Linked DNA regions of Sus scrofa. The protein of the gene in region 2 interacts with the protein of the main gene of each other region in a pairwise test. Links are inferred from orthologs where the notes say so. Each region holds a gene or a part of one and is shown on either strand. Other genes may lie near its edges.

Region 1 (3,947 bases), on a different chromosome or scaffold from region 2:
CCGCAGCTGCCAGCCTACACCACAGCCCACAGCAACACCAGATCCTTAACCCATAGGATTGAACAAAGCCAGGGACTGAACCTGCATCCTCATGGATACTAGTCGGGTTAGTTACCGCTGAGCCACAACAGAACTCCTGTCACATAGTTGATTTGACACGTGCAAAGCAAAGGCTCTACTTTTCTTCAGTGATTGCAGGCTCCCCTTACTCTGTAGTAACACTTAGGCTCATGAATTTCACAGACGACTCTCTGACCTATCTCTACAGGTACACATCTGACTCTTACTTCTTGTCTCCCAGAATTCAGACTCTCTTGAACAGAGTAGGCTGCAGAAATTATTCATCCTCACAGAGTTGAGACCCCGTCAACCAGATTTGCGCATTTTTACAGAACCCTGAGACCCCTTGTGCTACTTTGCAAGTCCCACAGACCTCCCCCATTAAGGCAAATACACGCGCTAACGCAGACGGCTTCACTAAGAGGCTCAAGTTCCGCAGGCTGCTCACACCAGCGCAAAAGCTTGAGAGGGCCTCATTCAGGCTCGGCGCCTTCAGGCTAACGCTTTGACCCTGGCTCTGGCTCCCCACCTCCAGCCTAATCCGGTCAGCCTAGGCCTCACACAGAGGGCACATGCCCCGCCCATCTAAACCTGTCATCACAGAAGCCGCACGTGGCCGGGGTGGGACCTCAGGCGACCTGCAGCCATCACTTTGTCTCCTCCACCATCCATTGGGACCACCACCACCAATCAGAGCCAGCGGTTCCCGGCTGGAGAGCGGGCGCCGGGGTGAGGCTAGTGGGAGAAGGGGCGGGGGGAGAAGAGGCTCAGAGATCTGAGGGGGCTAGCGTTGGAAAGGAGCTTGGCACCGGTTCTGCCAGGCTGGAATCCGAGTGGGCGGGTCCTAGTGACAAGCAAGGAGACCAAAAAGGGGCGGGGATTGGAGGGGACGACGGGCAAGCAGTGTTCAATGGGGAGACGCCGAGAAGACGAGAAGGGGCGGGGCCTTAGAGGGGGCGGGACCTGTATTACAGGGGAGGAGCCCCAGGAATTACAGAAACTAGGAAAAAGGACAAGCGGGGTGGGGGGGGAAGGTGGGAGGTGGGACAGGGGGAGGGTGGGTCTTGTCGTTGCGGGGGCGGGGCTCGCACCAAAGGGGCGAGGTTTGCCGGAGGAGGCTGCAGCTGGGGCAGCTGTGTAACTGCCCCAATCCACTACCTCCCCAGGTGCAGCGGGACTCACGGAACTGCAGGTGTGGGGTGGGGTGCGTGTGGAAGAAGGGACAAGGACCGGGGTGCGCTTGGGCAGACATGAGGAGGTGGGGATCGCTTTAGGGAAGGAGAGAATTGGGAGAAATGCTGGGGTAGGGTGGAGTAAAGCAGAGTTAGGGGAGGAGCTGGGGCTCACTGTGTGGGCTAGGAGGTGCATTCTCCGGTAGCCCTTGTGGGGGAGGGGCGGGAGTGCTTTGTGAGGGTGGGAAGTACTAGGTAGGGGGTGAAGTCTTTATCTTGAAGTGGAGGGTTGGAGAAGATACTTGAGGAGGAGGGACTCTGAAGGAGCTTAGGGGGAAAGGGAAGAGGGGGTGTTGTGTGATGGAGAAGGGCTGGTGGTCCAGAGTGTGGGAGGGACAGATGGCCTGTGTGGAGGAAGAAGGGATGGGGCTGTGGGCACTCTGCGAAGGGAAGGGGTTGCAGGCCCCAGCTGGGGAGGGAAGAACCCCTAGTGCTTTGAGAAAGTGTGGGGGCATTATAGAGATTCCAGGAAGATGTTTGTGTCCTGTGTTTTAGGAATGAGGGTGATGAAATTGCTGGGGTGAAGAAGCCCGTCTGCAGTGCTCCTGGCTCCTCAACTCCTAACTCCACCTTCAGGCCTGAGCACTCTTAGAGAGGATCTAGGCCCCACTTGCCACTAGGGCTTGTGCGACCTTCTCAGGCAGCTCTGGATCTGTCTGGCTGAGTCTGGGTTTTTTGGTTTCTTTTTTTCCCCCTTCGTTGGTGTCTCTGGGGACCCTTCCCCCATTCTGTTCCTGTTAACCCCCCACTCTAGTTCCTGTTCCTTCTAGAAGCTTGCCTTGGTCCCTGTCTTCCCCCACCTCCCCCACTTTGCTCTGCCCTTATGTTCTGGGTGTGCTCATTTCCCACTTCCTTCCTCGCCCTGGGGCCTGGCCCGGTCCTTGCATGTCTAGGAGCTGTGCCTGCCCCAGACTTTGTACTCAGTGGCCAGAGACCTAATAATTAGCAGCAAGGCCCAGACCCCACCCTCACTACTACCAAGGTCTTTCCCAGCAGGCCCCCAAGTGAATGGTAGACACATTTTTACCACTTGCCACAAATGAAATTTCCCCACACTTTTCCTTCTCCTGGGTAGGTAACATTGCGACCGTCAAAAATTCTGGGTGTCTGTAGGAGGGGAAAATAATAAGTACTAAGGGTCTTTGATGCATGTTTGGAGAGGTGGGTCACTATTGTCATTTGAACTTGAGAAGGGATGTGAGGTTGCAGCCTCTGCTGGGGGAGGAAGAAGGAATGGCTCCCCATACTCCTGACCTGGAAGCTGACTGTCAAAACTGAGACTAGGGCCTAGTCCACTTGGGGGCTCCTCTGGTTCCCTGAGGGGACCTGGTGTAGGGCCAGAGTTCATTTTGCCCCTGGGCTGGCTGGGACAGGGTGGGAAAGCCCTGTTTTCCACACAGTGGCTGAATGAGTGTGACAGTGTTGCTGAAAGGGGCCCCAAGCCAGCCTCCTCTGGCTGAGAGACGGGTTGGTGGGGAGGAGGGGGTGCTGAGGCCAGACAAAGCCTTGGGGTAGGGTGGGGTAAAGGAGGGCAGGCTGAAGCCTTTTGAGGAGGAGCTGATTGCTATGGCAACACAGCTTCCCAGTCTGTCTCTCAGAGAGGCGGGCCTAGGGCAGACTCACTCCAGCTTCCTCTGGACTAAGGCATTCGTGTGAGTGGGTGGGGCATGAAGAGAAAGAGCATCAGTTTGCTGTGCAGAGGCTGGAGTATATGGCCTTTCTGCTTCAGAACGATCAGCGGAGCTTTCAGATGCTTGGACTCATCCTCTGGAAATGGATTTGAGTGAACAATAGCCATTAGAATCATAGCAATATAAGGTCAGAGCTGTAGAGGCTCTCAATGGTCATCATTTATACAAACTCATTTTACAGATTTGGAAATGAACAGAGACTGAGATTTTCTCCAGATCTCATAGTGAATGAACAGGTGTTAGAACCCAGGTCTCCTGATTGCTGTTCACTCAGCTCAGGGCTCATTGTTTCTTTCAACTAGAGTTTACTGAGCACCTATTTTGTGCCAAACACCGATGCTGATTCTGAGAGTACCAGCACGAATAAAACAGACAAAGTTGCTGCTCTCATGGAGCTTCCATTTTAATAGGGAAAGAAAGAAGTGTGTGTGTGTGTGTGTGTGTGTAGGGGGGCAAGCAGGAGAGGGAGAGAAGAGGAAAGAGAGAAATGATGTCTGGTGATAACTGCTATGAAAAAAAAAAAATAGGAGTTCCCGTCATGGCACAGTGGTTAATGAATCTGATTAGGAACCATGAGGTTGCGGGTTCGATCCCTGGCCTTGCTCAGTGGGTTAACGATCCGGCGTTGCCGTGAGCTGTGGTGTAGGTTGCAGACGCAGCTCGGATCCCATGTTGCTGTGGCTCTGGTGTAGGCCAGTGGCTACAGCTCCAATTAGACCCCTAGCCTGGGAACCTCCATATGCCACGAGAGCGGCCCAATAAATGGCAAGAAAGACAAAAAAAATAAATAAATAAAAATTAAAAAAAAAAAAATAAAGCAGGAGAATTTAGAGCAGCTACTTAAAGCCTCTTGATTGTACCATGCTGCTTGCTTTCCCAGAGCACACTGAGACCTAGAACATCTATGATCCTTCCCCCTAAACTGCTGCCCCATGGTCTTTGCAAATAATTAAGTCCTAGGCCT
Region 2 (3,511 bases):
GATGTAGCGACCAAACCGGGTGCTTGTGAAAGCAGAAGAGGGGACCGTAAGATGAAATCTGTGCGGATTCAAGCCCTCCTTAGCCTCGCTGATTTCTCCAGCTTAAGAGCAGGTGCCTGAGAAGATGTGCCCGAACATCTGAGAGTAGGTTTACTCGTTCTCTGCTGGGGGTGATTTTATCCTTCAGGGATGTCTGCCAGCGTCTGATGTTTTTAGTGGCCAGTTTGGGGTTGGGGCTGCTATTGGTAGCTCGTTGGCCAAGAATGCTGCTAAAACATCCTACAGTAAGTACACAGATATATTAGAATATAAATAAATACATAGGGCTGCCATAGCAGAGTGCCACAGTTTAAGTGGCTTAAAAAATAGAAAATTATTTTTTTCGCAGTTCTGGAGGCTATAAAAGTCTAAGATCAATGTTTTTGGCAGGGTTGTCTGTAAAGGCCCCCATCTCCACGTACAGTCATATTCTAAGGTGCAGGGCCAGGGGAGGGTAGGGCTTCAGCATCTGAGTTTGCGAGGGGGGACACAGTCCAGCCCATAACAGCCCACCCCACACCTGCCCCTCTCGAGAGGAGCCGAGTCCCAGCATGAAGAGTGATGAGAACTTCACGCAATGGCTTGAGAGACCTGGTTCGGTGACCCTCTTGTGTGTTCTCACTTTGCGTGACCCTGTCTCCCACACTCCCCTGCTGAGCTCTAAGCTCCCTGAGGGCCCAGGCTTGGATGCTTCGTCTAGAATCCTCAGTGCCTAGAACAGTGTTAAGATCTGGAACAAATGTGGGCTCCCAGGGGGCGGTTCCTTTGAGTGGTTTGCTGCTGTGTCCCTGGTGAGAAGTCCAGTGTCTGGCAGGCGTAGCGCTGAAGTGGGTGTTTGCTGGATGAAAGGGGTGAATCCAGAAGCTCCTCCTTGGCCGGTGAACCGTCCACTTAAAAACCTGGAGCTGCCTCATGACCCTCATTCTCCCCCTTGGCCCTGCTCTCCCTTCTGCCCTCACTGGGCTCCTTCAGCCCCTGCCCTGCCCTCCCCATCTTCACTTGTCGCAAGGTGCAGGTTGTCGAGCAGCTGCCCCCCTTCCTGTGGTGCCAGGCCCGTCCAGCTAGCTGTCTGCTCCGTGCAGGGTCTGTCAGCCTTTCCTCCGAGCTGCTGGTGCAAGAGGTTTGAAGGGAGGGCAGGGTTTTGGGGCGGGGGCTGCCACGTGCTTTGATCTCTTTGGGGGTTACCCTGGGGTGAGCAGGTTCTGGAACAGAGCCGTTTAATTTTTTGTGTCTCTCTCTATATGTGCGCGTTGTTTTTTGTCGGATCCTCAGAGAGATGTGACTTTGACGACCAGCGGTTTCTCTAGCGTGGTGGTTCTCTGTGTGGTGGAACTGCCACCTGGAGGGCTCGAGGCACAGCCTGCTGGGCCCCACCCCTCAGAGGTTCCAATTCAGGTTTGGATGGGGTCTGAGGATAACATTTCCAACAAGCTAATGCTGCTGCTGGTTCAGGCACTACACTCTGAACCACCCCGGAAGCAGGCATCCAGTGGTGCCCGGTGGAGGGAGGACCTATGAGTTGTGAGGCATCGAGGTGCAGCACGAGGCGTGCTGGGTGGGCAGGGAAACAGGATCCCTTGGGTCATGCCCAGGTGCAGCCCTTCTGGGTGCGGTTCCTCCTGAGGCACCGCGAGGCTCCGGCCCTAGTGTGATCCTACGGAATCGGCCGCCCGGCGCTCTGACGGCGCTTTCTGTGCTCTCCCTATGCAGCGGCCTTAGCTGTGGTGGGAGTGCAGTGAGTTTGGTGTCCAGTGGGCCTGGGGGAGAACAAGCCCTAAAGCTGTGACCTTTACGGGTATAGCCTGGCTGGTTGTTTGCCCATAATTTCCTTTCATTGAGTCACTCCCAGCGTGATTTTTTTTTTTCTTTTTTTCTTTTTTAGGAGTAAAAAGTTCCCCTTCTGTTTGTACTGCCTTCTTTCACACGAGCGCCACTTTGTCCAAAGAGGATTATTACCAGATATTAGGAGTACCCCGAAGTGCCAGCCAGAAGGAGATCAAGAAGGCCTATTACCAGGTCTGTATGGAAGCCAGATTTTAGAGGCAAGATTTCAGAAGGTACACTTTCAGTCTAGTCCGATCCTGAGCAGTGCAAGGCGTATGCCCGTAAATGTAGGTTGCGTGCAGCTGACAGTGTGGAAGCAGATGATAAAAATGGGCTTTGCTGGGCTGTGTTCCTCGAGCGCGGGAAGCCATGCTGGTTAATGCTTCAGAACCAGAGAGTTTAAAAAATCTTTTTCCAGGGCTGCTGTTTTTGTTTTGTTTTGTTGTCTTTTTGCCTTTTCTAGGGTCACTTCCGAGGCATATGGAGGTTCCCAGGCTAGGGGTCTAATCAGAGCTATAGCTGCTGGCCTGCACCAGAGTCACAGCAACTCGGGATCTGAGCCATGTCTGCAAGCTACACCACAGCTCACAGCAACACCGGATCCTTAACCCACTGAGCAAGGCCAGGGATCGAACTTGCAACCTCATGGTTCCTAGTCAGATTCGTTAACCACTGTGCCACGACGGGAACTCCCAGGGCTGCTTTTGTACTTAAATTTATTCTGCATCTTCTGAAACTGTGGTGTGGTGGTCCAAGTCTTATTTTGGGTAGTCATTCTTTGCATTCAGATAAAAGTTCATGGATTTAGAATTTTTTCTTAACCTAGAAAATGTGAAATTCCCATCGTCATATCCCAGAATGTATTGGGCTGATTGGTACAGTGGCATGTGACTTATCTAGATCTGTGGGTTCCAGACTTTTGCTCTGATCAATAAAGTAAAAGTTAAAGACTGTGAGCTCTGACGTAGGAATGCTAGCTTTCGTATTTTGCCTACTGTGGATGTTAAAAATGATCACATTTAATCTGTTAATGTCATGTGATGAAAGAAAGAGCACCTTAACACTATAGAAAGAGGAAAGATGTGTTCTTCTCTGACTCAGTGGATTAGGGATCTGGCATCATCACTTCATTGGCTTGCAGTTGCTGCTGTGGCACAGGTTCTGTCTCTGGCCCCAGAATTTGGGCATGCGACAGATGCGCCCCTGCTCCCCCCAAAAGGGGAAGCTATAATAGAATAAAGATGATTAAAATTTAATAAAAATTAATAAAATTTGAATTTAAAAATTATGTTTATGGAAAATTTGCTCTAAGAATCCTGATTTTTTCCCCCCTTTTTTTGGCCACACCTCAGGCACGTGGAAGTTCTTGGGCCAGGCAGGGATTGAACCCCTGCCACAGTGGTGACCTGCGCCACAGCTGCGATGCCAGATCCTTAACCTGCTGTGCCACACTGGAACATCCTTTTTTTCCTTTTTTAAAAAAGTTTTTGTGGACAAGGAAAAACTTTGTCTAAGCCTAATATTAGTGAATCAAATACTGATCATGACCAGACCTAACAACAGCTTAAAGTTTGGATAGCTATTCCCTCTTCTTAGTTTTTCTTTTAAACCTGGAATTCACTGGGTTTTACTACATCAGCAGGGTTGT
Region 3 (4,106 bases), on a different chromosome or scaffold from region 2:
CCCCTCTGCCCTTTGACCACACCCCCTACCCCTAGCTCAGAAGCGCGGCCTCAGCCCCTGACCGCGCCTGCGCAAAGCGGGCAGGTTGGCGGGACGCTCTAAAGCCCTTCACCCTTCCGGGAGGAGGAGGGGAAGAGGTGTACGCAGGCGCGGTAGTCTAAAGCCCGGCCCAATTATGGCACTGAGGGCATCTCCGCGCCCTGGCGGCTCCTCCCAACTCCGGGAACCCGGGAAAACTTGTGAACTAATCAGAAAAAGCGGAAGGCGGGAGATCGGAGACCCTCCCAGCGCGTCGCCCAATGGAGAGAAGGAGGGCAAAAGAGATGGCCAATCAGAAACGGCACGGGGGGCGGGCTCTCTCGGCGCGAAGTTCAGACCCGGGAATTCCGAAGGCGGGGTCGGTACTGCCCGCGCGCGGAGACGGCGCCCCTCCTGGCCCCGGCTTCCTCGCTGTCAAACAGCCGCTGGAGCACCAGCCCTGGCCGGAGCCTGAGAGATCCTGAGCTGCCGCACAGGCTGGCACTGCCCGGAGAGGGGACCGCTTCGAGACTGCACCTCGCGGTAGATAAGAATCTGGATTGCGGCGGGGAGGGAAAAGGCTGGGTTTCCCTCGCATGATCCCGGGAAGCCCTATCCTGTCTTTAATCCCACCTGGAGAAGTCGGGAAGCAGGGGTTTAGATCCGCTTTGTTAGAGAACATAGAGACCCATTTGCACTGCCTTTGGAGGGATGACAGTGGATAGACTTCCCACGGGGGTTTAAGCTATCTAGTTATGAGTGAGGGGTTGGCCAGAAGAGCGAGGCGCAGGCTAGCAGGTGGGTTACTCTGTTTGGATTAGCAGAATTGACAGGAAACTTCTCCAAATTACACTGAGGTGACAAGTTAGTATCACACAGAAGCAGGACCCCAGTCCTCCCCCCTTGCAATTCGCATATTCCCCAGAAGCTGCCTAACGTATTGTTGCCTGGCACAGACTTGAAGGCTCCCGGAATATTCTGCAGCCTGAGGATCTGATTCAACTTCGTGCCATAGGACATCTTCGTCTTTGCACTATACTGGGACCCTCACGAAATTTTTCAGTTGGAAAACTGTTGACAGCCAATCTTGCATCGAATCCTAGGCCCTTGCACTCTGAATTTACACTATTCGGGGAGCGTGCCCAAGGTTGAGATTGCACAAAGCACAGTTCAACTCTGCATCAGAGGGAAAGAGAACTTAGGCCAGCTGTGCATGGCCCAGGATTGGGAAGTGATGGATTCCTGAAGTGGAAGAGGTGGTGCAGAGGGGGCACCGCCCATGCTGCCCTGCTTCCAGCTGCTGCGCATAGGGGGCGGCAGGGGTGTCGACCTTTACACCTTCCACCCCCCAAGTGGGGCTGGCTGCACCTACCGCTTGGGCTGCAGGGCCGACCTGTGTGATGTGGCCCTGCGGCCCCAGCAGGAGCCCGGCTTCATCTCGGAAGTCCACGCGGAGCTGCACGCTGAGCGCCGGGGTGATGACTGGAGGGTCAGCCTGGAGGACCATAGCAGCCAAGGTGAGGAGTGAGCAGAGCAGCCTTATGCCTGGGCAATGGCAGTTCTGGGCTGCAAAGTCTCCACAGGGACCATTGCCTGCCTTCCACCCAATCTCCCCTTTGGGCTGGCTGGATGGTTATCACCCAGACCTGTCCTCCCACCAGAAATGTGCAGTGTCAGAAGCTCTTTGTGGAGCTGACCTTGTTTAGCTCATTCAGGGGCGGGAGCATCATCAGAGAAGTATCGCAGTGGGTTGTCCTGGGGCCAAGCTCAGACTTGACCAAGTTTCCAGACTTGTTCCCAAGTTGGCACCTTGTTCTTGGCTTAGGGCAGTTACATGTTGAATTGTTTTAATGATCTGAACCTATGTCTTACTCCTTTGACTCGGAGGCAATTACAGTCTCAGAAGGCCTGGGTTCACATCTGAGTGGTGCCACTGACCCCCGGCAGCGTCCCTCAGGCCTGTCACTTCACCTTTCTAGGTATTAGTTTCCTCCTAGGTAAACTATAAGCCTTTCTTAGGTCTGTTTTGGTTGGGAATGTTGTGAGGATTGGATAACTAGTGGCCAAGATGCACCTAGTGCTTACTGTTACAAGCCAGAACTGTCCTAAATGCACTAAATGTAGGTGAGCACAAATATCCCCACTTTCCAGACAAGGAAAATGAGGCACAAAAGTTGTCCAGGGCCACATGGCTGGTTAAGTAGTGGAGCTTGGATTTGAACCTAGACAATCTGAACTATGCGGATAGGTGTTGAGGCGGAGCTGGGTGAGTGAGCATCTCTGAGAATCAGACCTCAGTAGATTGAGGGAAGGAGCTTTTTCCCTCCATGCCTCCAGTGGGAGGGCATAAGAAACAAAAATTTGTTCCCAGTTCACAAAGAGCTTGCTATCTGGTGTTACCTGCGAAGGGACTTAGAACATGAGAACTGGATAACAGATGCAATGTTCTTCCTCGTGTTCCCCAGAAAATCAAACAGGACCAGATCTCTCCACTTCTGACCCACCATTTGTTTCTGTCGTTCTGTCTGGTGTCCCACCACCAACAGGGACTTTGGTCAATAATGTCCGACTCCCAAGGGGTCACAGGCTGGAGTTGAGTGATGGTGACCTTCTGACCTTTGGCCCTGAAGGGCCCCCAGGAACCAGCCCCTCAGAGTTCTACATGTTTCAGCAAGTCCGAGTCAAACCTCAAGATTTTGCTGCCATCACCATCCCACGGTCCAGGGGAGAAGAGGGAGAAACCAGAGCTGGTTTCCGGCCTATGCTGCCCTCCCAAGGGGCCCCCCAGCGCCCCCTCAGCACCCTCTCCCCCACCCCCAAAGCCACCCTGATCCTCAACTCCATCGGCAGCCTCAGCAAGCTCCACTTGCAGCCGCTCACATTCTCTCGGAGTGGGAGTGGGCCGCAGAATCCACCCGTTTCCACGACTCCTGGGGAAGTGAGGACCACCCCTTCGGCCCCACCCCCAAGAAACCGGAGGAAATCCGCTCACCGCGTGTTGGCAGAACTGGACGATGAGAGAGAGGCTCCCGAGAGCCTCCCACCCGTGCTTATAGAGCCCAGGAAGAAACTGCTCCGTGTAGAGAAAACCCCACCGACACCCAGTGGGTAAGTGGAGAGAACTCCATCTCATCATTTCACTGCCTTTTAACTCCTTTTTAGAGCCCTAGACTGGGAGGCGGCTCTGCCCGGGGGATAGAGACCAGAGGTGGACCTTGGGATCGCAAGACCTGGGTTGGTTCTGCTCGGCAGATTCTAGTGAATCCATATAGGTTCACTTTGATTACCCAGGGGAAAGTTCTAAGTTTCTGCAGGTTTCCAGTGACCCTAGTTTTTGTGTCACTTTCTTCAGAAATCGTCGTGGGCGTCCTCGGAAGCACCCAGTGAGCATCCCCAGGGCTCCCCCAGCAGCTGGGGGCGGGGAGCCCTGTGCAGCCCCCTGTTGCTGCCTACCCCAAGAAGAGACAGTAGCTTGGGTTCAGTGTGATGGTTGTGACACCTGGTTCCATGTGGCCTGTGTTGGCTGCAGCATCCAGGCTGCCAAGGAAGCTGACTTCCGGTGCCCAGGCTGCCGTGTAGGCATCCAGAGCTAGGGCGGCCACCAACACCAGAGGACAGAGCCGGCACCTCCAGGCCATGGGGGGACAGGGAGTCCTAAGAGATGCCTTCTTCTTCCCTTGCCTTCCCCTGGGGTGGTGGGGGGATGAGTACAGAGGAAGGGTCCATTGCTATGGATTATCAATTCAAGGCCCTTGTAGCCAAGGTGACAGAAGAGATGGTTTCCTGCCAAAGATACTGCTGCCTCCAGGAAGTTGCCAGTGAGCTGGAAATCCCCACTGTTATAAGCTGTTGTGGGTCCTTGTCATGGACACTAGAATGTGTGGTCAGGAGCATTCGACTGCAGAGGGCCTGCCTGGGAGGGTGGCAGCCCCAGACTTGAGCAAGCAAGATCTTAATGGCAGCACCTAGCCTTCCTTACCTTGTGGATAGTCCTGCCACTGACCATGACTGTGACCTGACTTTTCAGAGCTTTGCTTCCATTTCCGAATAAAGAATGAGCAGCTTCATACACTCCAAGGTGCTTGCTC

Evidence for each region. The genes of interacting proteins can lie anywhere in the genome.
Region 1: the proteins of DNAJA3 (region 2) and FAM214B interact in binary tests that used the Homo sapiens proteins (3 or more experiments, as listed by UniProt). The link is inferred for Sus scrofa from reciprocal best matches to the Homo sapiens genes DNAJA3 and ATOSB.
Region 3: the proteins of DNAJA3 (region 2) and TCF19 interact in a two-hybrid assay, tested with the Homo sapiens proteins (2 studies listed by BioGRID and IntAct). The two-hybrid records come from large-scale screens. The link is inferred for Sus scrofa from reciprocal best matches to the Homo sapiens genes DNAJA3 and TCF19.

What each region holds. Positions count from the first base shown.
Region 1 is NC_010443.5:235,904,334-235,908,280, reverse strand, and holds the start of FAM214B (protein FAM214B), read left to right. Parts: upstream 1-1,138; 5' UTR 1,139-1,226; exon of another isoform or gene 1,227-1,252; intron 1,253-3,752; exon of another isoform or gene 3,753-3,947. UniProt on the Homo sapiens protein: Transcription regulator that may syncronize transcriptional and translational programs.
Region 2 is NC_010445.4:37,912,601-37,916,111, reverse strand, and holds part of DNAJA3 (dnaJ homolog subfamily A member 3, mitochondrial), read left to right. Parts: intron 1-1,921; coding exon 1,922-2,055; intron 2,056-3,511. UniProt on the Homo sapiens protein: Modulates apoptotic signal transduction or effector structures within the mitochondrial matrix. Affect cytochrome C release from the mitochondria and caspase 3 activation, but not caspase 8 activation.
Region 3 is NC_010449.5:23,557,980-23,562,085, forward strand, and holds TCF19 (transcription factor 19), read left to right. Parts: upstream 1-1,297; coding exon 1,298-1,535; intron 1,536-2,483; coding exon of another isoform or gene 2,484-2,564; coding exon 2,565-3,126; intron 3,127-3,370; coding exon 3,371-3,611; 3' UTR 3,612-4,095; downstream 4,096-4,106. UniProt on the Homo sapiens protein: Potential transcription factor that may play a role in the regulation of genes involved in cell cycle G1/S transition. May bind to regulatory elements of genes, including the promoter of the transcription factor FOXO1.